Linked DNA regions of Rattus norvegicus. The main gene of each other region encodes a partner of the protein of the gene in region 5 in a complex. Links are inferred from orthologs where the notes say so. Each region holds a gene or a part of one and is shown on either strand. Other genes may lie near its edges. The genes, in order: Nup98, Nup214, Nup153, Nup205, Nup85, Cetn3 and Nup107.

What was found.
Region 1: Nup85 (region 5) and Nup98 share a complex: the UniProt entries of both Homo sapiens proteins name them as parts of the nuclear pore complex. The link is inferred for Rattus norvegicus from reciprocal best matches to the Homo sapiens genes NUP85 and NUP98.
Region 2: Nup85 (region 5) and Nup214 share a complex: the UniProt entries of both Homo sapiens proteins name them as parts of the nuclear pore complex. The link is inferred for Rattus norvegicus from reciprocal best matches to the Homo sapiens genes NUP85 and NUP214.
Region 3: Nup85 (region 5) and Nup153 share a complex: the UniProt entries of both Homo sapiens proteins name them as parts of the nuclear pore complex. The link is inferred for Rattus norvegicus from reciprocal best matches to the Homo sapiens genes NUP85 and NUP153.
Region 4: the proteins of Nup85 (region 5) and Nup205 are in contact, whole or in part, in a cryo-EM structure (PDB 7TDZ), measured with the Xenopus laevis proteins. The link is inferred for Rattus norvegicus from reciprocal best matches to the Homo sapiens genes NUP85 and NUP205. Residues at the interface, in XP_041431608.1 of Xenopus laevis: Ala86, Glu87, Glu88, Ala89, Ser90, Gly91, Lys92, Ser93, Arg94, Lys95, Pro156, Pro239, Met240, Gly245, Thr246, Gln247, Thr248, Leu249, Thr250, Glu251, Phe252, Glu253, Leu254, Lys255, Trp256, Gln257, His258, Trp259, Pro315; in XP_041443600.1 of Xenopus laevis: Glu1477, Cys1480, Arg1481, Cys1484, Asp1485, Ser1517, Gly1518, Tyr1519, Leu1520, Lys1521, Val1522, Val1524, Asp1525, Ser1574, Gly1575, Gln1582, Gln1638, Gly1641, Gln1642, Gln1645, Val1648, Leu1690, Asp1691, Ile1692, Gly1693, Leu1694, Asn1695, Asp1696, Gly1697, Ser1698.
Region 6: Nup85 (region 5) and Cetn3 share a complex: the UniProt entries of both Homo sapiens proteins name them as parts of the nuclear pore complex. The link is inferred for Rattus norvegicus from reciprocal best matches to the Homo sapiens genes NUP85 and CETN3.
Region 7: Nup85 (region 5) and Nup107 share a complex: the UniProt entries of both Homo sapiens proteins name them as parts of the nuclear pore complex. The link is inferred for Rattus norvegicus from reciprocal best matches to the Homo sapiens genes NUP85 and NUP107.

Annotation. Positions count from the first base shown.
Region 1 is NC_086019.1:165,905,686-165,909,672, forward strand, and holds the end of Nup98 (nuclear pore complex protein Nup98-Nup96 proprotein), read right to left. Parts: intron 2,100-3,987; coding exon 1,988-2,099; intron 1,902-1,987; coding exon 1,684-1,901; 3' UTR 720-1,683; downstream 1-719. UniProt on the Homo sapiens protein: Plays a role in the nuclear pore complex (NPC) assembly and/or maintenance. NUP98 and NUP96 are involved in the bidirectional transport across the NPC. May anchor NUP153 and TPR to the NPC.
Region 2 is NC_086021.1:35,659,100-35,663,124, reverse strand, and holds part of Nup214 (nuclear pore complex protein Nup214), read right to left. Parts: intron 1,983-4,025; coding exon 1,919-1,982; intron 1,512-1,918; coding exon 1,408-1,511; intron 1-1,407. UniProt on the Homo sapiens protein: Part of the nuclear pore complex. Has a critical role in nucleocytoplasmic transport.
Region 3 is NC_086035.1:18,176,856-18,181,411, reverse strand, and holds the start of Nup153 (nuclear pore complex protein Nup153), read right to left. Parts: upstream 2,957-4,556; 5' UTR 2,423-2,956; coding exon 2,309-2,422; intron 1-2,308. UniProt on the Homo sapiens protein: Component of the nuclear pore complex (NPC), a complex required for the trafficking across the nuclear envelope. Functions as a scaffolding element in the nuclear phase of the NPC essential for normal nucleocytoplasmic transport of proteins and mRNAs.
Region 4 is NC_086022.1:64,835,201-64,839,225, reverse strand, and holds part of Nup205 (nuclear pore complex protein Nup205), read right to left. Parts: intron 3,692-4,025; coding exon 3,527-3,691; intron 626-3,526; coding exon 450-625; intron 1-449. UniProt on the Homo sapiens protein: Plays a role in the nuclear pore complex (NPC) assembly and/or maintenance. May anchor NUP62 and other nucleoporins, but not NUP153 and TPR, to the NPC.
Region 5 is NC_086028.1:101,303,791-101,308,337, reverse strand, and holds the start of Nup85 (nuclear pore complex protein Nup85), read right to left. Parts: upstream 2,904-4,547; 5' UTR 2,881-2,903; coding exon 2,848-2,880; intron 2,261-2,847; coding exon 2,167-2,260; intron 529-2,166; coding exon 366-528; intron 1-365. UniProt on the Homo sapiens protein: Essential component of the nuclear pore complex (NPC) that seems to be required for NPC assembly and maintenance. As part of the NPC Nup107-160 subcomplex plays a role in RNA export and in tethering NUP96/Nup98 and NUP153 to the nucleus.
Region 6 is NC_086020.1:13,831,163-13,835,187, forward strand, and holds part of Cetn3 (centrin-3), read left to right. Parts: intron 1-3,155; coding exon 3,156-3,347; intron 3,348-4,025. UniProt on the Homo sapiens protein: Plays a fundamental role in microtubule-organizing center structure and function. As a component of the TREX-2 complex, involved in the export of mRNAs to the cytoplasm through the nuclear pores.
Region 7 is NC_086025.1:55,277,423-55,281,447, forward strand, and holds part of Nup107 (nuclear pore complex protein Nup107), read right to left. Parts: intron 3,059-4,025; coding exon 2,943-3,058; intron 927-2,942; coding exon 782-926; intron 1-781. UniProt on the Homo sapiens protein: Plays a role in the nuclear pore complex (NPC) assembly and/or maintenance. Required for the assembly of peripheral proteins into the NPC. May anchor NUP62 to the NPC. Involved in nephrogenesis.

The DNA.
Region 1 (3,987 bases), on a different chromosome or scaffold from region 5:
CTGCCTTCCCCAGGCGAGATGGCAGGTCAGTTTCCAGGGTGTCGCTTGTCTCCATCCCCTAACAAGAGTTCTGACACAATGGGGCTGGAAGATGGGTTAGTGGCTAAGAACACTGGCTGCTCCTCCAAGAGGACCCAGGTTTGATTCTCGGCACCCTTAAAGTGGCTCGTAACTGTTCCTAATTCCAGTTCTTGAGATCTGATGCCCTCTGGCTTCCACAGGCACTAGGCACATATGTGGTGAACAGATATACATACAAGTAAACCACAACACACGTAAAATAGTAATAAACTCAGACAGACAAAACAAAAACAACCATAATGCTGAGAATTGAGAGTGGGAGTGATAGGTATGACAAATACACTGTATACATGTAAAAAGTCCTTGGAGAGTGCTGCCAGACACATACAGCGCTCTGGGATTACAGGGGTGTGCTAACAGCTTGCCTTTTTATGAAGATTCTGAGAAGTGAACTTGGGGTGTCAGGCTTGTGTGGTTAGTGCTCTGATATGCTGAACTCACTCCTCAGCCCCCTTGTTCTCTTAACTTAGGATCTGTTTCTTTCTTTTTTTTTGGTTCTTTTTTTCGGAGCTGGGGACCGAACCCAGGGCCTTGCGCTTCCTAGGTAAGCGCTCTACCACTGAGCTAAATCCCCAGCCCAGGATCTGTTTCTTAAAGATTCCAGAGTTCCCAAAACACAAAGACAAAACCACCAGGAATACTATAAACATTTCATTTTATTTTTTTTTTAAGAAAGTACTTCAGAAAGAGGAAAATAATCTAGATCATTTATATATATATTTTTTAATAAAAACCTTTACATAATCTTCATGCATAAAGACCCAGGGGTGGCCATATTGTCTGTGACAGCCCCAAATATCCGCTCTTTCAGGCTAGTGCCTGGGACTTCCCATAGCCAGCAGCAATGTGGTGAAGGCCTTCCCTATCTGCCCCTGGGCCCAGCCAGACCTGTCGCAGTGACAGCTTTACCTTCTGAGAAATGTTCTTGGCTAGATGGGAGGGCAGGGAGGAACACCCTTGACATTCTTCATCTAAACTCCTCTGGCAAATCGAGGAAAATGACTGATGATCAAGGGTCAGAGCAGTTCTGGGGCTTCTCAAGAGTTGTTCTCTGTAGCTTGGGGCCACTGCACATGATAGCATGGTGTCCAAAGGATATACAAGGCATGAGTAAAAGCCTTGAAGATCTCCGCCTCCATGGTAGACAGCCCTTCTTTCTTAAATATGTCAAAGAACAAGGTCCAACTCTCTTGATTCCCAAACACACTGTTAACTGAGAAATCTACTTGAGAGACAAATCTGTAGTAAGGGAAGGTCAGTCAGTCATATATCTGGGGTGAGAGTCAGAACTCTGGGTGTGGAAAAGAATTCCCTGGGTTTTGGGAGGTTCTGCCAAAGAGGTTTTATTGACCATTTTTCAAAAGAAAAAAACTGAATGGTCTTGAGGTTGATCAATGGAGACCTGTGTTTTTTGTTGTTGCTGTTCCAGAAGCCCTTATGAGCTATGGTAGGATATGCTCAGTATTATGAAAACCCCTGAATAACTAGAGGATGCTGCGAAGGGCAGCGAAGAGGAGCGGAGGACTCCCAGAGATTGGCAGAGTGTCAATTAAAACAATGTGGGAGACTGTGGTGGCGAGTGCGGATGGGCAGGAGCCAGGCTCATTGGCTCCCAACAGTCAGTTCTCGAAGGTAGGACTGGGTAAGGCCTCGCAGTTCCTCCAAGGCATAGTCCTCAGGCATAGGGAGCCTGCCAATGTGGGGAGCCAAAAGACGCAAAGGGACTCGCTGAGGGTCCGGAGTGGAGTTGGAGGTGGCGTCAGGAGTGTGCTGAAGGCTCAGAACTACCCGCAGTAAGTTGGCTACCCGCTTGGCCATATCTAGAGAGAAATACCAGAGTGAGTACTGAGAACAAGGCACTGGTGTCGGGGTAACGGCCATGAGCAAGCAGAGCCCACATGTTTACCTGACTGAGCCAGGCGATCCTTGGCATTGTAGCACGGAATCTGCTCTATCCGGTTACACAGTGAAGTCACTTTGGTATGTAAGTGCTCTAGTTCATAGCCTGAGCAATCCACCTACAGGAAAACAGAAACCAGTAAGGACAAAACAAACCTCTACCTCACATGCCTCCATCTCAGCACTTCAATGCATGGTCTACGGAATGAGTTTCAAGACAGCCAGGGCTATAAACAGAAACCCTGTCTCAAATAACAAAACCAAAACACTACCACCACCAAAACAAAAAGCCCCATGTATACCTCAATCCCACTCACAGATTACACACAATCCTAAGGACAATGATAGGAGGGGAGAAAACCCAAGAGCTGGTGGCAGTGCCCACGCTACCACCATACCACCTAGTTGCTAAGGCAAGGTACTAACAGTGAACATGAGGGAGTGAACACAGAGCCTTGGGCTGGACAGGTCCTGAGATATGATTCACAAGTCACATAATTTTTACACAACACCAAAAAACATAGGATACATCTGATTCAGACACATAGTATGACACTCAGCAACACACATGTAGTAAGAGGTGACACTTAAACCAGCATTTAATTTACAACTCCTTATTCTAAAGTCACAGCCATTTCTAAAACAGTGCAGGACCTACTCATTTATACACTCTCCTGATCCATCCCTACGGTTCCAACTATAGTCAATGTATTGATTTCTAAGTCCTCAGTTCTAGCCCAACACCAAACTTCCGTTCCTGTGCCACACTCCTTGTTGAAGCTTGGACCACCATTACTTCTCACCTTAAACACCTTAGGAGCTTGGCCACACTACTGTGTTACTCTCTATAATCATGGTGTTGGGTTGTTTTTTGTTTTTTTTTTTAAAGATTTATTTATTATATATAAGTACACCGTATCTGTCTTCGGACACACCAGAAGAGGGCATCATATCTCATTACAGATGGTTGTGAGCCACCATGTGGTTGCTGGGATTTGAACTCAGACCTCTCTGGAAGAGCAGTCAGTGGCTTAACCACTGACCCATCTCTCCAGCCCAATCATTTGTTTTTTTGAGATCCGGTCTTGATATGTAGCCCCAACTGGCCTAGAACTTGTATATTCCAGGCTGGTCCCAAAGTTGCCATTACCCTCTTGTTTCATCATGGCATATTATAGGCATGTAGCACCACACCTTGTCAGAGACATTAAAAACAAACCAGATTTACTTTTCTCCTGTCACCAGGTCAAAGGATGTCTCCTTTCACTATGTGAGTTTTGGAGACTGAACTCAGGTCACCATGCTTGGTTACAAGTGGCTAGAACTCACTTTGAAGAGGGCTTGCAGAATTCACTAATTTATCCCTAAACACAAACTACTCTTACCCTCTGCTATCTTTGCTTGAATTTTACAGACAAGAAAACCTCAAAGAATTGTAAGCTGCGGAAATAAAGAAACCAGATGTCTGTTTCAAAGTAGGGGAAACTTCCTTAAGTAGGCCATTTGTCAGCTGAGACCTTTCTAAAAACACGTCAAGTTTGTAAAAGAAACAGCTAAGCCCTGTAAGGTGCAACACATGCGGTAAAGAGGAAAACAGCGAAACAGAAGGGGAAAGTTAAAGATAATATTTTGTGCATGATGTTTATCAGCATGTATGAGGGCAGAAGAGGGCACTGGATCTCCTGGAACTGGCTAATGTCTATGAGCCACCATGGGGGTACTAAGACTTGAACCTCTGCAAGGGCAGCAAGTGATTTTAACCACTGAGCCATCTCTCCAGCTCCAGACTGGATTTTAAGTGAGGGGTGCGTTTCATTCGGTTATGATTATGAATACCGAGCTACACTCTGAGTGGCATATAATCAACAACCCATGGCAATCTTTTCCTTTACTCTGTAGTATGGCTGGCTTACTCAGTCTTCCCCACTGAATCAGTAAGGAAAAAACGTGCTGTTTACCCCAGTAGCTCCCAAATCCACAGTCCTCAGCATATTTTGGGTTCTTAAT
Region 2 (4,025 bases), on a different chromosome or scaffold from region 5:
CAGCCTGACTCCAATCCTCTGCTTCCAATGCCCCTGAGCTTGGCAACACTTTGGAGCTCACGTCATCGCTCTTCACTTGTGCACTCCACTTAGCTCTCTGCCTTCAGGAAAGCCTTCACTGACCCTGTCTGCCACGGCTGCCCTAGTCATCGCCTGCCCTGTCTACTCTCTTCTCTTCACCCCCATAGCCCCATCACTCTCTGACTTGTCAGCACGTGGGATCCTTAAAAGCCAGGACTTCAACCTGGTCACCTCTGTATGCTCAGCTGTACGACAGTGCTCCACATACTACCTGCATTGCTTAACTATTTGATAAGTAAATGAACATTAAAAGGTAGGGGCTGGAGACGGCTCAGCAGTTTAGAGCACTGACTGCCTTTACCGAGGACTTGGGTTAAGTTCCTAGCACATGGTGGCTCACAATCACACAACAGTTTCAGGGGATCTCATGCCAACTTCTGACCTCTGTGGGCACCAGGCACACAGGAAATACACATACATACATACATTCAGGCAAACACTCATTCACATAAAATAAATAATTTTTGCTTTTTTTTTTTTCCCGGAGCTGAGGACCGAACCCAGGGCCTTGAGCTTGCTAGGCAAGTGCTCTACCAATGAGCTAAATCCCCAACCCAAAATAAATAATTTTTAAAAATCAAAATATTTCCAGGGTTGGGGATTTAGCTCAGCGGTCGAGCACTTGCCTAGCAAGCGCAAGGTCGTGGGTTCGGTCCCCAGCTCCGAAAAAAAGAAAAAAGAAAATTTCCTGGCTCTTCTAAATTACAGCATAAGTAAAAGTATCCACTTTTTTTTTTTTACTTCATAATCAAATCGTGCCTGTGGGGGTTTGAATGAGAGGGATCCCCACAGGTTCATATGCTTGAACGCTTGGTCCCCCATTTAATGGAACTGTTTGGGAAGGATTAAGAAGTACGGCTTTGCTGGAGGTGTATCACTGGGTAGTGGGGTTGTAAGATTTCAAAATCCCACACTGGGTGAGTGTCTCTTTTGCTGTCTGTTGCTCCACTCAGGATGTAAAGTTCTCAGCTACTGCTCCAGTGCCAGGCCTGTCTGCTACGATGCTCATGGACTGATCCTGTAAAACTGTAATCAAGCCCCCAAATAAATACTTTATAAATGCACACCAGAATTTTGGTCCCAGGACTATGGTGTGACATTGAAACCTTACACCTGAGTCTACCATAACAGGTATTAAGGAAAGGAATTTGGTTTTGTTTTTTTTTTTCCTTTTCTTTTTTTTCAGAGTTGGGGACTGAACCCAGGGCCTACCAAGCGCTTTACCACTGAGCTAAATCCCCAACCCCAGGAATTTAGTTTTAAGTTAGCATTCCTACAAGACTGCTGTGAGTCTCAGGAAACAGAGCTGCTCTTTCACAAGCTTACCGGAAGCAGAGCCATCACCACATCTGGACAGGTCTCCAGTGCGCCATCCGCACCAGCATAGACTATCGTGAAGACGTATGTACCAATCCACAGCACATCCAGAACTGAAAGACACACACCCCTAATTCCTAAGTAACCAATCTCAACAAGAAAGATGCAGCAAAGAGTAGCATGGGATAGCCACCATGTGCTAAAAGAGTTAACTGGGGAAAAGAAAAAGACAAAAGAAACAAATGAAGTACTGTGGCTTTTCCAAAGGTCTATCCTCTGAATAACAGTAATTCACAGACACAGGGTTTCAGTTGGCCCGATTTCTTAAAGCAGTGGGTTTTCTGAAGGATTAGTGTTAGGGAAACGATAAGGAATTCTTGTAAAACTGGAAGATCCATTTCAAGCTAAATAACTCACGACATTAAGTGTGGCTCCCACACTCTCCTGAGTAGGGACAGAGGATCTCACATGGCTAGAATGGCTGCAGTAGAGGCCAGAGAATGAGCAAAGCAGTTGTTACCTCTGACAGGGTGGTCTGCCTCATAAAACGGAGGACATGGAATGACCTTTTTTTCCTGCAATGTCTGAAAGAGATTTATAATGCTTCAGTCAGTGACTCAGTCAAATGCAATCAAATCCCCTAGAAGCTGGTGTTCTATCCTCCCGCCTCCCCCACTAGCCCCCCAACAGAGAGGGTAACACCATCATTTCCGAGCAGCATACCCAGGGAAATGCTCACACCAACAGCGTCAGACGCAGCTGATGAGATGGCTCGATGCAGTCGCACTCACAGTGCCCCAGCTACTGGTGCCGATGCATGTGGCCATCAGCAAGAGCATATGGGCCTTTCTACATAGTAGGTTACTATGGAGCCACTAGAGAGAGTCGCTCCCTGCACAGAGCTGGAAAGATGACCTCAGTCTACTAAGTTATTAAAAGTAAAAAGGCAGGGCCAGACGTGGTGACCCATATCTTTAATTCTAGCCCAACCCTGGAGACAGAGGCAGGCAGAGCTCTGTAAGTTGGAGGTCAGCTTAGTCTACATAGCAAGTTCCAGGACAGACAGGATTAGAGACCTTGTCTTAAAACAAACAAATGAGCAAGCAAGCAAGCAAATAAGGAAAAAGCAAAACAATATAAGTTAATAAACTGCATTATTGTTTTAGAGGCTAATACCTCCCAAAAGAGTATGCACTCAACTTCACATAACAATGTTTGACAACAACAAGCAAACGTGGTTGCCCATACTCACAGCTGCTAAAGAGGCTCAGTAGTTAAGAGTTCTTGCTGCTCTTACAAAGGACCTGAGTTCAATTCCCCAAACCCACATGGTGGCTCCCAACCATTCCTAACTAAGTTCCAGAAGATCTGATGCTGTCTTCCAACTTCCGAAGGTACATACATAAATGATCACAAAACACTGAGGACCATAAAATGAGAGAGAGAGAGAGAGAGAGAGAGAGAGAGAGAGAGAGAGAGAGAGTGTGTGTGTGTGTGTGTGTGTGTGTGTGTTCCCTTTGGGCATGGTGGTGCACACCTTTAATCCCAAAGACCCAGAGGCAGGCAGACCTCTGAGTTCAAGCCTACCTGGTCTACACAATGAGACCTGTCTCGAAAAAACAAAACAAAATAAAACGGGCTCATAAGGGGAGGAGAGAGTGCAACAGCAGGCGTATGTTTTGTTTGTTGCCGACAACTGGAAAAACTAAACCTTTAAGAGAGCTGAAAGATGGGGTTGGGGATTTAGCTCAGTGGTAGAACGCTTGCCTAGCAAGCACAAGGCCCTGGGTTTGATCCCCAGCTCCAAAAAAAAAAGAGAGCTGAAAGATAAAAACTGCCCATCGACTTCATTAACTCCTTTCTTTCCCTATGCAGGTTGCTAAACAGACTTCTTCCCACACATGGAAGATTTCCAACAAAGCCATGTATCAAAGCACAGCTATGAGTAGAAATACCTCCTTTTTTTTATTATTTTAACATGTCTTGATGTTAAGAAACCCCCCCCCCCCTTGGCAAGGCTGAGCAGTTGTAAGACCTTTAATCCCAGCACTCGGAAGGCAGAGGTAGGTGGAGCTCTGAGTTCAAGGCCAACCTGGTCGACAGAGCGAGCTCCAGGACAGTCAGGGCTACACAGAGAAACCCTGTCTTGTAAAAACAAACAAATGCAAACAATCCACAGCAGGCTGGAGTGGCCTAGAGCTTAGGAGGCAGAGGAAGGAGGACTAAGTTTGAAGATGAACTGGACCACATACTTGAGATCGCATCTGAAAAAGACACAAAGGAGAAGGAAGGAGAGGGAGGGAGTGGACATTTTTCTACTGAGACACCATGGTTTCTGAATGGCGGGAGATTGTGAAGTGAAGGAATAGTACCTAGCGTAGGCCACATTTCACTTTAAAGGAAAACAGAAACAATGCGCGTCCAATGGGTGAACTGGATGAGATCCATGAAAGGGAGGAGATGGAGCCACTCACAACTGTGGCATCACTGGAAGGACATAATGAGGGATAGATCAGAGTCAATCTTCTCCATTTACAGAGTCAGTATAATGAAGATAAATTACTTTTTATTTATTTTGTAGTGCTAAGGATTGGACACAAGGCCTCACACATGCCAGGCAAGCACTC
Region 3 (4,556 bases), on a different chromosome or scaffold from region 5:
AACTGTTACTTTTATTTGGTTGATCAAGACAGTATCTTTCTAGTTCGACAACTTCAAACAAGGTAGCTTTTTTTAAAAGAAAACTTAAAAGTAGAAAAATGCTAAAGTTTAGACATTTCCCAGAAGACCTAAACCAGAAGTCAAAACAGGAAATCAGAAGTCAGCTGAACATGAGACAGGAGCCACAGGTACTACTGTGTGACTGCAGTAGCTCTTTGGCCAGACATTTGCTGCCCTGCATCCACCAATAGCACCACTGCTTACTTCTTCTAACCTTCTACTACACAACCAAAGGTTTTATTCTGCTCAGAGATCTGGACACTTATCAAACATCAGTATGAAACATGCCATGTCATGAAGCTCCTCACTATACCCAAGATGACTCAGCAGCTGCTGAAAAAACCAGCTGACGAGCTCTGCTAGTAGAGGACAATGACATCCACTAAGTTCCAGGTAAGACTAGTTACTTTAAGACAGAAACAAACACTGAGCTGTATTCTTTAATATAATCCCGAATACTTTTCTTCGGTTGATTCTGCCAATATTAAATCAGCAAATCAAGAAAGTTATCTTTAATTCCAGGTCAAAGATGTATTTACTTTTTAAATGACTGAGGCAAGAAGCTAACATTACATAAGTTACAGCTTAACTACTGAGCCCTAAAACTATACAACCTGAAATCTGGATCAGCTCTAAAACACATTGGGCTTTAGTTGGCTCAACTTCTCTCTCAAATTAGTTTTTTTATCTAAATACATTTTAAAATAAGTTGTGATCATAACTTTTGTTTCCTTCTAAACTCTATCATAATATCACAATATTGACTTCTTTCTAAACTCTAGCCAAGCCATCCATTTCTCTGCTCAAATTGTTTTCATTTTCCTTTAACAAGCATTCAGGTGATTCGTTACTCTTAGGAGAAAAGTATGTTTGTCTTAATGTCCACTGTACAGTGTCAGGTAAAGTAAAATGGCCAGGCTTGGGAAATCTTCGTCTTAAAAATCTGCTTGGGAATAATACCCCTGGCGCCTCAGCATTCTGCACACATCTAGGGAAAATGGTAATATGCCAAGGCTTCCAACCAAGGACAAATAACTTCTCAGTATATAAACCACAGCTTTTACTATTCAAAATTTTACCTATCTTTACTTTTTAAAATCCCGAAAGTGATATAATTTAACATTACCAAACAAAAACGCTAAGTATTCAATTTTAGCACTAGCCAGGATAAAACAAGAAAAATCTACATTTACGAATACGCAACAAGTTATTTACTAGCCCTTCTTCAATAAGCTTAAAATACACACTTCCTACTTTAGTACACGAGGCCCTGTAAAAGTGGCTTTGTTAAAGTGGATTTTTAACATTTTAATTCTCACAATTTCTAAAAACTCAAATTTTTTTCTGAACCGAATATCTCATTTACAACAGAAATCGACATTTTTATAAACACCCTAAGAAGGCATACGGTGGCTTAACCTATAAGATTACCAACACTCCTAGAGAGTCCAAAATACCTTACACTTCTAGAAAATGCCCAGTATTAAAAAATATTTGGTGTATAAGATAAGAGTTGATCTCTGGTGAACTGTAGAGAATGGCTGATTCTGGTCTTCAGAATACAGAGCGGGGTGGAGAGGAGAGGGAAGAATCGCGCATCAGAGACCAGACGTAAGAGCGGCGAGGGACTTTCAAAACGCCTCAGTGCCACATAACTATAACTCAGTTAAAAGAGGAAAGGACGAGAAGCTAAACCAGTGTGTTCAGATCTGGAAAGGCCAAGCAGGCAGACGAGGGGACTGAACTATCACTATCATTTAAGATTAAATATGGCTAAAACGGAATTAATCCACTATCCGGGTAACAGCGCCCCCTCCCCAAGTCTCTCCCGGCCCCGGTGGCAGATTAACCTCCCCACGCACCCTAAACCCGGGAACATCAGAAAGAAAAAGCCTGCCAGCGGATAGGCCTGTTGCCACATCTTTCCCTTGTTCCCTCGCGAGGTCGTGAGTAATACCATCAAAACCCCAAAACCCGCCAAAAAAGAAGCCGGAGTATCAGAAGCCTGGAATTTCTTTTCCCGCCCTGCGCCCGCCGGGGAAAGCCCCTGGGCGGGAGGGCTGGGAGAGGCCGCTCGCACCCCACGTGTGCGACGCCAGGCCTGGCCAGGCTCTACCCACTTCCCGTCGCCACCCCGGCCCTGTCTCAGGCCCTCTGGTCCCCTCCACGTGGGGCGCCGGGGCCTCGCACCGCCCCCCAGAGCGGCTACCCGGAGCCGCCCAGTCCTGGCGGCGTGCTGGTCCCGTACCTGGTGTTGGGGTCGCCCCTGCTGGTAAGGCTTCACCGGCCCCTGGTGGCAACGACGCGTCCGGATCTTGCCGCCGCCGCCGCCCCCTCCTATGCCTCCGGCTCCTGAGGCCATGGCGGAGCCTGGGCGACCTCCCACTACCGCTCCCGGGCGGGAGAGGCAGAGGCGGCGGCCTGAGGGCCTCCCCCGCCCGGCCCTAGGCGACACACAGACACAGCGAGAACCGCGAGGGAGCGAGCGGGAAATGAGAGTTCGCGCGGCGAGGAAGGCAGTGGCGGCGGCTGAAGGCCGTGAGCTGGCTGAGGACCGCCGGCCGCGTGCGGACCCCCGCGTTTGTGTTTGTCACCGTCTCTATGGAGATCTCCCGCCGAGGCCGGCGCGAGCAGCTCCGGGCACCGCTGAGGCCTAGCTCGACCGCCCGCTGCTGGAGGCTCCTCTTCAGCGGCCCTGGCCGTCGCTGCCGCAGTCCAGGCCGCCGGCGCCGCCCGCCAACCCCTCCCCTGTGCGCGCTGCGCCCGCCCCGCCGCCGCCGCCGCCGCCGCCGCCGTCGTCGTCCCTGCAGTCGTCGTCGCCGCCGCTCTTGCGCCTATTACCGCTGTTGAGGCGGCCGCCGCGGTCGCGAGCCAGAACACCGTCACTCCTCAGCGACCGACGCGTCTGCGTCATCACGCTGCGACGATGTGGGGGGATGGGCAAAGGAAGGAAGGGTTGGCCGAGCCCGCGCTCTCTGTCGCTGGTGCCTCTGGGAAATATAGTTTTTCTGGCAAGAGCGCGGATTCTCGGAAAGGAAGGCTGCGGCGGAAGGACACCCGCGGAGCTCCGCAGAGGCACAAAGCCCCGGTCATTTGGCGGCAGTTGGCGGTTTAGATTCAGAATGGCACTCGACGTGAAAACTGTAATCTCCCATTCATCAATTATAAGCGGAATGGAAGTAAACAGTAAAAATCAAAGAACGATAATTTGTCACAATATGAGAGAAAAAAAAACGCTTTTAAAATTAACAGTGGCCGTGATCCCTAGGCCTAAAACAAGTAGAAAAGGCATTTGGCTTCTGATTGGCATTTGGCACTAGTTAGAGGTTAGCCTCAGCTTCATAGTGAGATACTGTCTCAACAAAAGCAAAAAATACAACTTCGTTACTGTTTCATTAATCATATAAGAGCTTTGTTATCAACGCGCACGGTGTTTGCAGTCTGAGTTCCTTCACTACTTACAGACTTGACCTTGGATGACTACCAGCTAGGAGCTTTAAAATCCACCTTATAAAGTTGTGGGGAGCTAGTGCGGTCAGTCATCTGTGTAGAGCACTAATAGATTTCCTGGTATACAAGAAACGTAGTAAATGATTGCAATTATAACCTATGCAATCAACACACATTAAGGATGACTCATACATTCCTAGTAAACATATTTGCTTCAGTTAGTATTATAGTTTGGAAGGTAATTAAACACTGTACCCTCAAAGGCTGAATAAACGGTGTCAAAGATGCAGGCATTAGACAAAAGGTCTGTGTGGTCATGTGATCCAGCCTAGTCATTTCAATGGACTATATGGAAACCAAGAAACTTTAAGAGGTACCATTAAGGGTATCGGTTTGGCTGGTGACACACGCCTTTGATCCCAGCATTCAGGAGTCAAATGCAGGTTGATCTCTGTGACTTCAAGGCCAGCCCGGCCTACAAAACAAGTTCCAGGACAGCCAGGGCTACACAGAGAACTGTCTTTGGGGGGGAGGGGGGGGATGAAGAGGAAGAGGGTGGATATGGAGTTGGGCATTCAAAGCCAGGAAGGACTATAAGCCAGTTTTTCCATGAAATAAATAAATGATTAAAAAGAATCGCTTATGAAAAAAATCGTCGACTTAATGTTCTATTAGAGAACAGTGTTCTAAAGTGTATAACTATAAAATCAAATAGATTGTTTAAATCTGTCACTTACTAGCTGTGTGGCCTTGGGGAGATTACTGATCTTCTTTCAAAGCTTCTCTTTCCTCATCTGCAAACAGAATGAATATTTACCTCAACGGAAACATGGTTCTGCTTACAATAGCTGTACAGACCGAAAGCGCTCAGTACCAACCAGAAATCAGCTACCGAAAGCAATCTCCATGAACTTTTGCACCAGCCCACCCCCAAAGTGTACAATTCAAATCACTATTGAAATCAAATTAATAAAACTTACAGTACCTTTGAACTTATAGTACCTTTTAGCACATCAAAGCCCCTTCAGTAGCCTCTTGGTACAGTC
Region 4 (4,025 bases), on a different chromosome or scaffold from region 5:
GAAGGCTCAGTGGTAAAGGTGTTGAAAACAAGCCATTGGTTGTTCTCAGACTTCCACATGAAAGCACCCACAAAATATATATAAAATAAATGTGTCAATAAAATAAAAGGAAATAAAATAGACATGAAACACACAGACATAAGAGACAAGAATATTAGCAGCACTCCATAGGCATTTTCATTAACCCACTGCTTTCTAGAAAGCGTTCACAGTGTCCAATGTTTCTTCTGAAAAACATCCTTCCAGTTAATAAGGTTTGTATTATTTCACCTTCCCATTTCAGACTGTATTTGTAATACAATCGGTCAATTTCACCTTCCCATTCAGACTGTATTTGTAATACAATCGGTCAAATCTTAAGTCTATGCTAACTTTATTAGTTACCCAACATAGAGCGAGTTAAGACACAGTTTTAACTATTTCAAAACTTCCTATACTGTTATACTTACTTTCATTGGCATAAATGCAAGGAAGTCTGTAATAAGATTATGGATTCTGCGAATATAAAACTCTTCCTGATAGAAGTTTTCAGCCAGCACGACAGACTCGCTGAGGAACAGGAAGACATTATCGGCAATGGCGAGTTCTGCAATCGCTTCATCTGCTTCCGTGAACTCAGCCAGGGCTACAAAATTTCAGAAGACAGAAAAGCAGTGAGGAAAAATCTTTAACTCAGGTTATATCCTAGTGGATCATATTTCAGATATTTTTTTGAGCCTCCTAACAAGTGCTATACACAAAATGAGATTTATATAATTGTAATTGATTCACAAACTCCAAAGAACTACTTAAAGAGTACATTTGAAATACCAATATTGCTGGGTGTGGTGATGTATGTTTAGCCCCAGCACTCAGGAAGCAGAGGGTGGCGGACTTCTGAGTCTGAGACCAGCCTGGTCTCCGTAGCAAGCTGCAGGCCAGCCAGGACTACATAGTGAACTTTGTCTTAAACAAAACAAAACAGTAAGAACAACAATTAAAAAAAAAAAACAAAACAAAACACAAAACTGGAAGAACACTTGCTCTTCCTATAAGAAACTTTTTTATTTTTTAAGATTTATTTATTTATTTTTATGTGAGTGCACTGTAGCTGTCTTCAGACACACCAGAAGAGGGCATCAGATCCCATTACAGATGATTGTAAGCCACCATGTGGTTGCTGGAAACTGAACTCAGGACCTCGGGAAGAGCAGTCAGTGCTCTTAACTGCTGAGCCATCTCTCCAGTAACTTGTTAATTAATGTAATGTTACACTGGTATAGTCAGAGAGCTCTTATGCAAACATAACATGTAAAAACAATGTAGGGGCTTTAATTCTAGACATTTCCAGAGAGGTTTTCTTGTTTTGTTTTGGCTTGTTTTTTTGAGGCAGGGTCTCAACTGTCTAGCCCTGGATAGCCTGGAACTCACTTCATAAATTAGGTTGGTCGGTCTTCAACTCAGAGATCCTCCGGCCTCTGTCTCCCAAAAATCTAGGAGTAAAGGTGTGAGCCTTTGAGAGGTTTACCTCAGGAAAGACTCACCTTGAATGTGGCAAGTTTCATATCATAGGCTAGAGGCCTAGGCTAAATTTAAAAAGGAAGAAAGCAAACTAGGAGAGTACCACATGGTGTCCCTGCTTCCTCACTGCAGATGAACGCCATCACTTCTTACACTCCTTCTGCTGAGCCCTATCTGCCATGACAAACCCCGCAAACCAAGGGAACCAAAATAAACTCTTCTTCCCTTGAACTGCATCTTAGTCAGCAACCAACATACAGATGGCACCACCAAATCTTACAGAAGTGACAAGTCTTTGTATTTCAAATTACAATTAAAGTACAGCTTGCATTTGACAAGATGAACCACTCTAAGTCCAATAATTTCATCAATCTAGAGAGCAAAATAGGTTATCCTGTACAACACAGGATTAAGTAAACTCCCCTACTGTCTTAGTTAGGGTTCATTGCTGTGAAGAGACACCATGACTAAGGCAACTCTTAAAAGGTCAACATTTTGTTGGGGTGAGCTTACAGGTTCAGAGGTTCAGTCTATTATCAAAGGCAGAAAGCATGGCAGCATCCAGACATGATGCCGGAGGAGCTGAGAGTTCTACTTCTTCTTCTGAAGGCAGCTAAGACTGGTTCCCACATGGTTTGGAGAATAGTCTCATTGCCCACCCCCACTTACTTACTTACTTCCTCCAACAAGGACACACCTACTCCTACAAGGCCACACCTCCTAACAGTGCCACGCCCTGGGCCAAGCATATTCAAATTATCTATGCTTGATTGATCCAAATATCTCCTTCTCAACACACTGAGTTTAAAGAACTAAATCTTCAGTTTGATACACTGTGAAAAAATTTGTGAACAAAATCAAGAATGAAAAATTTTTTTAAAACTTAAATAGTAATAGTTGATTGTGGTAATACACATTTAAGAATCCCAGCACTTCGGGGTTGGGGATTTAGCTCAGTGGTAGAGCGCTTGCCTAGGAAGCGCAAGGCCCTGGGTTCAGTCCCCAGCTCCGGAAAAAAAAAAAAAAAAACAAAAACAAAAAAAAAAAAAAAAAAAAAGAATCCCAGCACTTCAGAGGTAGAGCCAGGAGGATAAGAAGCTCAAGGGCAGGCTGGAGAGATGGCTCAGTGATTAAGAGCACTGACTGCTCTTCCAGAGGTCCTGAGTTCAATTCCCAGCAACCACATGGTGGCTCACAACCACCTGTAATATACATTAAATAAATAAATATTAAAAAAAAAAGAAGAAGCTCAAGGGCACCCTTAGCTACATAGTTTGGGACAAGACTGGGATACATGATACCCTGTTTAAAAAGAAAGAACTAGAACCGTGGCTCAGTGGCAGAACCCTCCAGCCCTAGCACACATTCAGACGCTCTAAGGTCAATCAGTCATTAGCACCGCAAATAAGAACCAGAATAGGTGTGACTGCCTGTGCCTGCTGTAGGCCCACACTGCTGCTCCTACACTGAAGGTGACCTATGGGTCTCTTCTGAGACATCTCAGCACTACCTTACGTTACGAGGGGTTTGCTGTTGTGGTTTTGAGACAGTCTCTGTGCAACCCTGGCTGTCCTAGAACTCTATGTAGACTAGGTTGGCCCCAAACTATACAGATCAACCTACCTCCTGAGTGCTAACACAAGCCACTGTTCCTGGCTTGCAACTTTTTATCAAACTACTCGTATTTTCTCATGTTCATATTTACACTTTCTGATTTAAAATCTGATATTTGAAAAAAAAAAACCATTTGGGGCTGGAGAGATGGCTCAGTGGTTAAAAGCCTTGGCTGTTCCTCCAAAAAACCCAGGTTCTATTCTCAGCATCCACATGATACCTAGAAACCATTCCTAACTCCAGGGAATTCTTGGATCTTAGGTAACATCAGACACACATGTGGAATACAGACATATATACAGGTAAAACATGCACACATAAGTTATCTAAAAAATTTTAAAGGAAGAAAACACACACATTGCCAAGTATAGAGAGCGGCATAGCCAGTTATCTCAAACTTTCCTTACATTACCTGTCACATCAGGTAGCTGGGATATCCCCCTCAGTGCCAGTGCCCAGGCAAGTCTAACAGTGGCCTGCAGCCCAGGTAGCTTCCAAGGCTGGGAGTCCTGGAGGCGAGAGTGAATTGTGGCAATGTACTGTCTCTCTGTCAACAGGGGAAGGTGGTGAATCATATCTGAAAACACAAAACTAGACCACGTCAGCAAAAAACAGCAGAAATAAATTCTTACTTCTGTCATACATGGATATCTAAAAGTCAAAGACATAGCATTTTCAAAAAGAATAATGACTAATCAACATTATTATTGACATAGCAGAAATCTGTATTACTGTTAAGTATTAAATGCACAAAAACTGAAAAGACAACCAAAAATTTTAGTTAACAACTTTCAATAAGTTTCATAGACAGCAGAAATTAGAAAAAAGAAGCACTCACTGTTTTTTTCTATATAGGGATTCTAAATTATAAATAAATGCTCTCTTATGATAAAATAAATCATCTCCCCACA
Region 5 (4,547 bases):
AGCTCTGGGTGGTCTGGAACTGACTATGCAGACCAGGCTGCCCGTTAGCGAACATCTGCCGGCCTCATTTTTAACTCTTCCAAGAATGAGATCGAATCAAGGGCTTCTTTGGTCGTGTTATTTATATTCTTTTTACTTTGGTGGGTGGTGGTGTTCAAGGAACACACACAAATGAAGTAGGACTCCACAGCGAAGAGTTGATATACCAAGCCACCGAGTCTTCTAACAGCATTTCCCCAACCTACAACTACATCCTGGGAAGGCACCCTGGAGACCAGGAATCCTCTCCAAGGCGCTCCGCCACTCAGGAGGATAAGGGTGCCTCTCACCACGACTCCATTAGAGCTCCAGCACCCACCACTCACTGAGCTTTCCTGGATTTCCCGGACAGTTCTTCCTCAAGTCTTTGCAGGCCAACGAAGATTCCATGGGATTCGTTGAAGAGTTTTCTCAAAATTTGAGAGTAAACATCGACATCTTTCCTTATGATATAAATAAAGGGGCAGCTCGGGACCTTCTCTGATTTGTCTGCAACAAAACAGGAAAAAGGAAACAAAAACTAATTTAACATCTATCATTTTCCCCCAAAGAGAAAACACTGCAGTATTTCTAATTTTTTAGTCACAAAAACTGGCTGAGCATGGGGGGCACATGTCTACACACTCAGCAAGAGGAAGAATGAGACAGGAGGATTAAAATGAAAGAGAAGACTAGTGCATGCAATAGACCAAGCAAGCCAGGTCTATGATAAAAGAGAAGAAGAGGGGTGCTGGAGAGATGAGTCAGTGGTTAAGAGCACTGACAGCTCTTCCAGAGATCCTGAGTTCAATTCCCAGCAACCACATGGTGGCTCACAACCATCTGTAATGGGATCTGATGCCCTCTTCTGGTGTGTCTGAAGACAGCTACACTGTACTTATATATAATAAATAAATAAATAAATAAATAAATAAATAAATAAGAAGAGGAAGAGGAAGAGGAGGAAGAGGAATAAGAAGGAGGAGGAAGGGGAGGAGGAAGAAGAGGAATAAGAAGGAGGAGGAAGAGGAAGAGGAGAGTTTTTCAAGTGGAGAGCTGAGATGGGGTCCTAGTCTAAGCAATCCTTCTCCCTAAGCCTCCTGGGCATGCCCATGCTGCCCATGCCATCACTGAGCGACAGCCTACGTCCTTGGTTTTTTGAGAATGGGTTCGGCATCGTATCTCAGGCAGCCGGGAACACTCTATCCTCCGTCAACTATTCTGCACAGTAAAAATTCTACGACTGCAAGCATTGCCTGAACCCAAGAGTTTGCCTTCAGCTGGGGCAGGCAACACAGTCCGACTCATTTCTTTTTGTTGTTTGTTTGGTTGGTTGGTTTTGGTTTTTCAAGACAAGGTTTCTCTGAGTAACCCTGGCTGATCTAGAATTCATTCTGTCGATCAGGCAGGCCTTGAACTCACAGATCCACCTGCTTCTGTCTGCGGAGTACTGGGATGAAAGGTGTGCGAGTGTGCGTCACCACAGCTGAGCTATATGGCTCGTGTCTAAAGGTCCATTATAGGAAGGGTGCTGAAGAGATGGTTTGGTGACTAAGACCACTGGCTGAAATTTCATATTTTTATTCCTAACACTCAGGAAGAAAGGGCAAATAATTTCTGAGCTCAAAACCAGTGTGGTCTAGAGCCAGTTCCAGGACAGCCAGACCATCTCAAGAAACCAAAGACGACCAAACAAGACGTACACAGGCAGCTCTTCCAGCCAAGCTCTTCCAAGCTCGCATATGGCAACTCACATAAATATACAGTTCTAGTTCCTAGAGTCCAGGGATCTCTTTTGGCCTCTGCAGGCACCAAGCACGAAGTGGTGCATCAATAGGCATGCAAACAAAACTCCCATGCACAGACGACAGAATTAAAAAAAAAAAAACAAAAAAAAAACAAAAAAAACTTTGTGTTGTGTGACACACCTCAAATCCCAGCCCTCTGGACATCGAGGTTGGAAGACGTAGTTTCCGAATCCCACATATGTTGCACAAAGACAAGCCCACTAGGACTATATAGGGGTAACTTGTCTCAAAATAACAAAAAACAGTTTCAAACATAAAAAAATGTTGCCAAATGACTTCAGTTTCCTGCCCCTGATAGTCAACAAATGTACCAAGACAAAAGTGAACAAGAACTACCTACCTGTTTTGTTGAAGGAAGTTTCACATAGGAGCATCTCCCCTGGGCCCCAGTCAAAACACATTTGCTTCTTCTTGGAATTCACACCTGGAATCCACTAGTAAAACAGAAGGCATAGGAACTGTTAGCCCTAGTTAGGGCTTTCTTTTCATTCAACTTCCAAGTGTGATTGCGGACACCATAGTTCAGGCAGGCAGCCTAGATGGTATCCAACGGTTCTGTGCACATATCCAGACATATACACACACCTTAAAATATTTCTATGTAAGCGGAATAGAATACAAAGCGACAGAAACAAGTGGTCTATAGTCTCTCGTGAGAATAAATTACGCACTTATTAAGCTTTGAGCCAGAGGAAGAAGCCAACTGAGCTCTTGGAGCGACGATGTGGAGCTTACACCAAGCTCATTCTAACGCCCAAGGAGAGAAACTAGAGAAGCAGAAAGGTTAGAGAAACAAGGGATGATGCAGTGGGGCCTCCGCGGCCCGGCCAGTATTCACAGGACCCGAAGCCTAGGGACCACCACCGCCCTAACCTAGTTCCCAGTTGATCTGACATTCTGGATGGTGGCAACTGTGTCCAGAGAAAAAGCATGCGTCCCACATGTACGGAGGCAAGCCTGAAGTGACCAAAGAAACGTAACCCTCACAGTGAGACAAGCAAGCCTCTCCGGGCGTCCTTACAGTTACTGCGGGCTCGCAGTCGAGCTCCTCCATAGTGCGGTGCGCCCGCAGCAGGGACCCCTCCGCGTTGCTGCTGTTCTCAGCTCAGGCCTCCCGCTCACAGCCAGCTGCCAAAGAGGACCCCATCAGGGCGGCTTCCGAAGCGCCTGCACATCTCAACGCAACAAATCCCTTCGCCTCAGCCAAACACAGGCCTCTGCAGCTTTACACACGTCTCCTACTATTCTAACCTAGACAACACCTCAGGAAAACGTCGCCAGGGGCCACCGGTCCTCACGGAATGTTCCCACTAGATCAGGCGGCGCCATGGACAGTCCCACACTAGGCAAGAGGAAGGCCCCGGGAGATGGCGGGAGAGGAGGTGGCTGGGAGGGTGTGCGCGTGCGCAGATCCTTGCTGTCGCATCTCTTGGGATTGCAGAGCTACTCCGCCTCAGTAATCCTATTTTAGCTCTTAGCGGTAGTTGGGATCCCTCCCTCAGGGTCTGTTATTAAGTATTCTCAGTCCCTTTCTCTTACTCCGACAAGTATAACGCGCTTACTTTGGAATTGGTCGCGGGCATTGACACCCCAAAACAACAGGACTTCAACCTTTTATGTACTGGCCACTTTTCTTTCCTTAGGATTATTCTAAACCTCCTCTACCTTAAATTGTTGGGCATACATGACTTGAAAGAAGGGCACGGTGGCTTAAACCGGCAGTTGCAGCACTTGGGAAGTAGAGACAGAAATTCGGAGTTCAGAACCAGCTTTAGCTATGTAGCAAGGTTGAGCTCACTTGATGTGAGGCTAAGTGAAACCCAGCCTCAGAAAACAAACTCCCACCAGGCATTAAGGAAATAAAGAAAAATCTTTCTGTCAAATTTTTATCCAAGTCCTAATCACTGAAATCAATGATTTGGGGAGCTGGACTGATGGCTCAGTGGTTAAGCACATATGCTGTTCTTCCCGGGTAACTGGATCAATTCAAAGCACTCACATACACATGGAAAAATCCCAGGCATTCTGATGCCCTCTTCTGGCCTCTGTGGATGTGAGGCGCACATGTAGTTCACAGACATGCAGATATGCATGCAGCCAGTATACATACAATAATTTTTAAAAGACTGAATTTACTGTACAGTTAAACAAAATCTACCACATATGATCAGAGCTAAATAAACAATTAATTAAAAAAAAAAGTAAAGAGGTAGAGAGATGGCTCAGTGGTTAGGAACACTGACTGCTCTTCCAGAGGTCCTGAGTTCAATTGCCAGCAACCACATGGGCTCACAACCATCTGTAATGGGATTCAATGAATAAATTCTGTTTTTAGTTTTTCGAGACACACAGAGAGCTGACTACTTCAACCTCCTGAGTGCTAGTAGGATTAAAGGTGTGTGCACCACCACCTCCCAACAATTATTTTAAGAAAATAATAGTCAGATGGATTAAATAAAAATTGTCAGCAGAGTATGTTGACACCTCCTTGAAATTCAAGAATTTGAAAGGCTGAGGCCAGAGAATTGCCATGACTTGGAGCCCAACAAAACTATGTCTCAAAAAGCCCTAAAAGGGGTGCTGGAGAGATGGCTCAGTGGTTAAGAGCACTGACTGCTCTTCCAGGGGTCCTGAATTCAAATCCCAGCAACTACGTGGTGGCTCAGAACCATCTGTAATGAGATCTGATCCCCTCTTCTGGTGTGTCTGAAGACAGCGACA
Region 6 (4,025 bases), on a different chromosome or scaffold from region 5:
GCAGGAGGAATGGGAGTTAAAATTACCAAGAAAGTGCATTGAGGAGCTTAGGATTTCAGGGTAGGTGACACTACATTTTGATTCTGTGTGAGAGACATTGTTATCTGGCGTCATGTTTGTGGACGCTGCTTCTCTGCCACCATGTGGTAGTTTAGACTGCGAGCTTAGGACTCCCGAAAGCCTAAAATGTTTCCTATCAGACCTTTTATAGGAAATGTTTATTAAGTCTTTACCCAGGGAATTTAAGTTTTTGCAAAGGGGATTTTTTTTTTAAACTTAAATCTTTAGGGATTGAAGATTTCCAAGAAGATTGTAGGAGTAGCTGAGATGCAGTCCAGACTTAGACGGTGACAAAGCAGAGTGGCACTAGGTGTTCAGCACCGGGAGAGGCTTCAGCTCATGCAGTCCCTTCTATGAGGGATCATCAGTGCACTGCAAAGGCAGCCTCAGTCAGACTGATCATTATACCTAGTGAAGTAAGATGGGACTTCAGTCAGCGGAGTTTAAGGAACGGGAGACTGTGTTTTACAATGGTAGCTGATGAGAAGATTGAAGATGAGCTGAAGGGGATTTTGGAGGCAGAAAGTTCCAGACTTTATGGTCAAGGTTGTTGGTGTGAAAGAAAGACGCTCCATTTGAGAGTAAGGCAAGATAGTGCCTTCAGAACTGTAGTGTGCAATACTTGGATAATTAAGGGACATTTATGGTGTTGAGGGCGATGCCACTGTTTGAGAGTCAATGATGTAGGTACCTTTCCTTCAGTGGAGGTCTAAGAGGCTATGAATCCCATATGCTGCTATAGAAAGACTTGAAAGTCCAACATTTTTGAGTTTGAAATAAGTATTATATGTTTGGATAGAAACTTTCTAACATCTTTTTTTGAATATTTATTTATGTATTTTTTTTAATGTAGAAGTGCTCTGTTTACATGTATACCCACATGCCAGAAGAGAGTCAGATCCCTTTATATAGATCTCTTTTTAGATGATTATGAGCCACCGCGTGGTTGCTAAGAATTGAACTCAAGACCTCTGGAAGAGCAGCCAGTGTTCTTAACCACTGAGTCATCTCACCACCCTTAACATTATCTTTCATGATTTTGATTTTTTTTAGAATTTGATATTTCCTTACGTGATTTTTATAAGGTCTAATATTTTTGACAGTGTAGTTAAATTGTGTACCTTTGTAATTGGTTTTAGTGTGCTTTATGTCATTACAATGTAAAAATCAAAACAACAGAAAGCAGTTGCATGGACAGAAATCTGGAACTTTGTGAACCAGGAAATGACTTAGCTATGTGTGTATTAATTGCTTTAAAGTCTCCTATTAGACTATAGGTGTGGACCACCATGCCTGGTTTATTTCCATTGAAAAAAAGATGTCTTACAAAGAAGTCGTACTTGTCAGAGAGAAATGGAAGGCGATGGTGTAGAGGAGAGTCACCATAAAATACGTCATGTAGGGTGATGCTTCTGCTGCTCAGAGTTATGGCAGTTAGAAGTCCTAAGAAAAGTGCATAGTGTCAGAGACTATCGATAGGCGACTTTACTGACAAATGTGTCTGAAAGACTGATAGAGTGTGTCAGTGGGATAGTGTGTGGGCATGTTGGCCTCCTACGTGTTGTGGCTTTAAGTGCATTAGTGTTTTAGCCATCTGCCTTCCTGGTTTACCTGTCATGTATGTTACTTAATCGATGAAGAAAATTTCCTAACAGTTTTTTTCCTTGTCCTGTTTTCTTGTTGGGACTGAATTCAAACTAAGTTGAGTGTGTGCCATAGAGTTAAGTGTGGTGTTTTATTTTGGTGTTATGGCTGTAGGTATGCCAATTCCTGTTACTGAATATTTATGAGCTTTGATTTGCATACTTATAGTAATAGACTTCAATTAGTTTTTTGGAAACTTTCTTTGGATAAATTAATGGCGAAAGATAATTTTGGATACATGTGTATTTGACGTAGCGTTAGCTTGACTAGGTGCTTTCTCAGCCAAGTGGGATGAAGGAGCGGGAGACAGGCAGCAACTGGTACGGGACTTTGTTTTTTCACTTGAGATTCAATAAATATCCTAGCACTTTCCATCTACAGGCAGTTGAAATTTTCAGATGAATTTGTAGATCCCAATAAAACCAAGTCACTTTTAATGATAGGATGATAAATGCCTTTTCTTGTAGTAGCAGAATAACATATGGCATTACTTCATAAATGTTTACTTAGATATTTTGAGAATTCTGTCAAGCAGCATAAAATTTTATACTATAGACATTAGGCATTAGTTTTTATTATGACTTGGTTAAAGGCCTATGCTATTAAAATATATAAACTTAGTCTATTGATATGTGCCCTTATTTTTTATATATTAAAATTTAGTTACTGACATCTTTAATGACTCATATCTATTTAACTTGTTTTATTTTGCTGAAATATGATTTAGACCTGCTTCCAGAGGGGATTTAACCCCTATTCACTGATGCTGAAACCAGTGCTGATAACATTTGCATTTACTAACATGTCTTATGCCTGTATTGGCACTGACTTCTGTTAATTTCACAGGCTTAGTTGGATACAATAGAGGAAGAATTAGGGTCTTAAACTAAGCTAAGAGCTTTCACATGGCCAGGGCAAATTGTTCACTTAAACTTAGTGACCTGAGAGAGGTGGTATAGTGTTTTTGTGGACTTAATTATTTTATGTGGTATATTTACATATATACCATATATATGAGTGTTTCGCTCGTGTGAGTTTGCACTTGAAGGGCCTAGGTTAGAAGAGGGTATTTTGGGCCCCTGGGACTGGAGTTATAGACTGTCGTGGTTTGCCAAGTGCTTGGTGGGAATTGAACTTAGATCCTCTGTAAGAACAAGTGTTCCTAACTGCTGAGCCATCTCTCATCCTCAGTTTAATTCTTAACAATAGTAGTAAATATAGTGTATATATGTTGTCCCATTTTTGGCCTTTGTACAGTATAATTTAACTTACATTTATAATACGGACATTAAATGGTTAACATGTAAAATGTGGACTTAGAATTCAGGTTTATTTCTGAGTTTTAGTGATCTACCATGACGTTTAATTATTAGACTGAGTGTTGACAGACTCCTGGGTGTTGCTCTCAATGAATAGCTGATTTTTACATGAATGTCCTCTTTTAACTCTAGTGACAGACTGGATACTAGAAAGAGATCCACACGAGGAGATCCTGAAAGCATTTAAACTATTTGATGATGATGATTCAGGAAAGATAAGCTTGAGGAACTTGCGCCGTGTTGCCCGAGAGCTGGGTGAGAATATGAGCGATGAGGAGCTCCGGGCCATGATCGAGGAGTTTGATAAGGACGGCGATGGGGAGAGTAAGTTCACCTTACTTTTCTGAAGTCTTGAGTTTTGGGACGCCAGTGAGTTCTCCCCATCCCACTCTTTCTTTCCCTTTTAGTTTTAAAGATGAAACTCATGATACCTTAAAGGTTATTTCGAGTTTGACCTTGTACTTCAGATCCTTTCATCCCAGCGTCCTGAATGGTGCGAGCCCGGCTGGATGCCACGCTGTAAGCTTCATTTATACTGAAGCAGATCCTGTATAAGCTGTAATGTGAAATAGCACGCGTACTTCTCTGAAGAGGAAATTGCGCAATTTACGAAAAGTTTAGATTTCGGTGCTTTCTCCCTTAACCTGTTTACACTTCTGAACTATAACTAAATTCGTAGATTTTTCTTTCAACCACTTTTCATTTGTTTTTGTTTGTTTGTTTTTTTCTCTGCTGCTCGGTTTTAGGTCATGAGTTCTATTTAAAATGTCACAGTGTTCTTTCCTTGGCTGCCCTGTGTATGTCCTACCTGTCCTGCAAATACACGCTGGTGTCTCACAGCCTTCCCCGTGTCCTGTGGCTTAGGAGCCTCCACCTCTGTTTGCAGTCTGTCGATTCTATTCTTTTCCTAAATGTGGGTTCTAGCGCTGTCGTTTCCATGCTCAGATGGGAGAGCGGATCCTCACTACCCGCAGAGTAAAGTCCACACATAGTGCCGAGCTT
Region 7 (4,025 bases), on a different chromosome or scaffold from region 5:
CTAACAACCTGACCGTCTGCTGTCTACATTAAAATGGCAAGATTTGTTCAAAATTAGTGCTAAGACAAAGCTCTCGATCTTCTCAAGACATGTTGTAAAACAAAAATATTTTAAAGCTAACATAACAGTCCTCAGATATTGGGGCTGGAGAGGTGGCTCAGCAGTTACGAGCACTGGCTGCTTTTCCACAGACTCCAACTCAGTTCCAGCATCCACACAGCTCACACCCATCTGTAACTCCAGGAGATATAATGCCCTTTTCTGGTCTCCACAAGTAGTAGGCATGCAATGGGTGCACAGACATCCACATAGGCAAAACATCCATCCAAACAGACTGAAAAAATGGTCATGACTAACAGCTTAACAAAACTATATTATAGGAGGAAGACCAAGCAGGAATGGGGGAGGAAGTGGGTGACCTGCAAGTCAAGCAGAGAGGCAGACCTCAAAAGACCTAACCTGGAACGCCTTCATCTTAGATTTCTAGAATCTAAAATTTTGAAATAAAAGTATTTTTTAACTTACATCACTCAACACACACACACACACACATACACACACACACGCACGCATGCACACAATTGTTGGAACAGAGTTCCACTAGGTAACCCTGGCTGTCAGGAAATTACTAGGATGATGAGGCCAATGGCAAACCCACAGCGATCCATCTGCCTTTACCTCCCAAGTGCCGGGTTACAAGCCTGTACCACTATGCCCAGGAAAATCACATTTTGACGATGTGCAGGAACAACTAAGCTACTTAAATCTCAAAGCCGTTTACCAGCCTCTCCAGGGTCATCCTCCCGTAGCATGACAGTACTTAGGTTTATGTCCTCAGTCATACTATGGTGCTCCGTGTTTGTGTAGAACCCTAAACGCTGGGATGAGAATGCAGCTGCCCAGTTGCTGTCATCAAGGTTAGTCACCTGAAAAAAAAAAAAAAAAAAAAAAAAAAAGGAAAGCAATAAAGCCATTGTCATTAAATAGGTAAATTACTGCTGAATAAAGTTTTTTTTCCCGGGGTTGGGGATTTAGCTCAGTGGCAGAGTGCTTGCCTAGCAAGCGCAAGGCCCTGGGTTCGGTACCCAGCTCCGAAAAAAAGAAAAAAGAAAAAAAAAAGGTTTTTTTCCCACCTTATCTGGTTTTCATTTTTAAAATATGTGAGCTACAGTCTTCTTTAACTTTTATGTGTTTGTTTTGCCTGATTGTGTCTATGCACCACATATGTGCAGGGTGCTTACAGAGGCCAAGAGAGAACACTGGACCCCCAAGGGTGCAGTGGTTGCAAGCCACCATGTGGTGCTGGGAATCAAACCAAGATCCTCTAGACAAGAAGTCAGAGCTCTTCACCACCAGCCCTAATATCTGAGAATTATTCTTTCAGCTTTAAAATGTTTTTGTTTTACAACAGGTCTTGTGCAGCCCAAGCATGCCTCCAATGTCCTATGCTGCTGAGAATGACCTGGAACTCCTGATCCTCCTGCCTCTATCTATCCCGAGTGCTGGGATACCAGGCAAATACCACCACTGAGACCCTGGCTTCGAGTCCCCAAAGGAAAAAAAGATGGGTTTAAGCACTAACAAAGCAAGGATAAAAGGCAAAACTATGTCCAGAAGATATCTACTTTAGATAACTTCATATATGCATCGAAATCTCCCTGAGTATTTAATAAACCACAATGTCAAAGACAGAATCATTTTGATTTATAATTCAATATGCCTTAAGAGTTACTAATATGGCACAATGTGTTTCCTTCCTCAATAGGATCCATTTTCCCTAGTTGGTATTCTTTGAGTAATCAGATAAAGCCCCTGTGCACTGTAGCGCATATGATGTTTCCTCTGCTGTTTTCAGTACTATGCCACAGTGGTTCCTAGAGTGTCTCATCCTTTCCTAAAATGTTCTCTTCTGTCTTGAGGGAAAACCCATCATAGAGTCTCCAGTACGTTCATACCACAGACACATCAAATGTGGAGAAGAGGGTTTCCTTACAACAGCAAAGAATCAATTGAGAGCAGACACAGGCGGGGTCCTCCACTCAATCCAGTGGATGCTCTCCTGGTCAGACCCCACAGGCAGGCAGTCCTACTCGTCCTGACAATGTCTGACATCCCCTAGCAGTCACTTTCTGCTCTGCTGTGTGGAGGGTGCAGAGGCCAGGGCGGGTGGCAGGCATCCTGCTCACTTACCTCTTCACTTTGGGTTTGAGGGAAGGGTTCTTACAGAATCTGGGCTCATTCTTCCACCCATCTCTCCCCAGGCCCCAGCTCTAGGGTTACAGTGTTGCCATATCCAGCTTTTACTTTACTGCTGGGATCTGAACTAGGGTCCACATGTTTGTGAGACAAGCAGTTTAATCCTCCCGCCTTCTTTATACTTTAAAACAGCGGCGCGCTGTGGCACCTGCCTTTAACCCCAGCACTCAGGAGGCAACCAGGCCTACAGAGCAAGTTCCAGGACAGCCAGGGCTGCACAGAGAAACCCTGTCTTGAAAAAACAAAAACAAAACAAACCAACCAACCAACAAGCAAAACAAAAACAAGGATTGGCGTTAACAGTCATCCACGGGGGGTTGGGGATTTAGCTCAGTGGTAGAGCGCTTGCCTAGCAAGCGCAAGGCCCTGGGTTCGGTCCCCAGCTCCGAAAAAAAGGAAAAAAAAAAAAAAAAAAAAAAAACCAAACAGTCATCCACGGTTATAGGATGCATTTCATTTGGTCAGTAAACTGCTAGACTCTGGTATCTGACCAGTATCTAGATGTTACTGCTGTCATTTTCCTTTTGTGACATGACATATTCTAACATTTGGTTTTTTTTCAAATGTCTAACCAAAGATATCACTCCACACAACCTGAAATTATTCTCATGATGAATATAACTTTAACTTTCATTGAACGGCTTTCAAGTGCCTTTAAGTGTCAAACTGCATTTATTTATACATACCATGGAAAGATTTCCCAAATACCCAGAAGACTGTATATGCCGGGGAGACCTCCCTTCCGTCCCAAAAATGTAGGATATATCTGGGTGTCTTAGTAAACTTCGGCTTGGTGGAGTAACTGTAAGTGGAAAGAACACTGTCAACATAAAGCAAGTAAGCCAGCAACAAAATATTAAGTTTTCAGAAAGCAGGGCCAATGGCTCACTTGGTAAAGTCCTCACTGCACAGCATGCACCCATGTAGAAAACTCAGGCATGGTGGTGCATGGTTGCAACCACAGTGTTGGGGAGAAGACAGGAGAACCAGAGGTCACTAGGCAGCCAGTCTAGACTAATCAGAAAAGCCCCAGGTCCCAATGGAGGACCCTGTCTGAAAACACTGGATAGCTCCTGAGGAACAATACTCAAGGTTCACCTCTGGACTCACACATGCCTATCTATCTATGTGCATGTATGTTTGCATGAACACATACAACACCCCAGACATGCACACAAGAACATGCATATATACGTATATGCACATCTATATATACATGAACATGAAACACCCACATATACCCACAATTTCTCAGTTTTCAATTATTTAGATTCTAATCAAACAGTTTAAATATTAACATTTTTATATTATGAAGAATTAACTTATTTTTCTAAGATTGAGCTTACCACGCTGACTATTAATTTTTTTTAGCTACAAAGGGCACTTTTAACTTTTTTTTTTTTTTTTTTTTTCGGAGCTGGGGACCGAACCCAGGGCCTTGCGCTTGCTAGGCAAGTGCTCTACCACTGAGCCAAATCCCCAACCCCAAAGGGCACTTTTTATCTAGGTGTAACTGAGTAGACATCAAATGAGCACAGGTGACACAGCTGGCAGATGTTCATCATCTAAATTCAGAGAGCACACTGGGGCGTGCCCGGCAGTGGCCAGAGCTCTGAATCTGGTTTCCACTGTCATCTAAATAACAGACAGCACCAGCTCACTCACGCTGGCTTCTTCAAGTCTGCCTTCCGGTTTGGAAAAGCAGATAACAGTATGTTACAGCCACTATGTGTTGATGTAAAGTACAGTTCCTTGTTCATAAGCGTTTG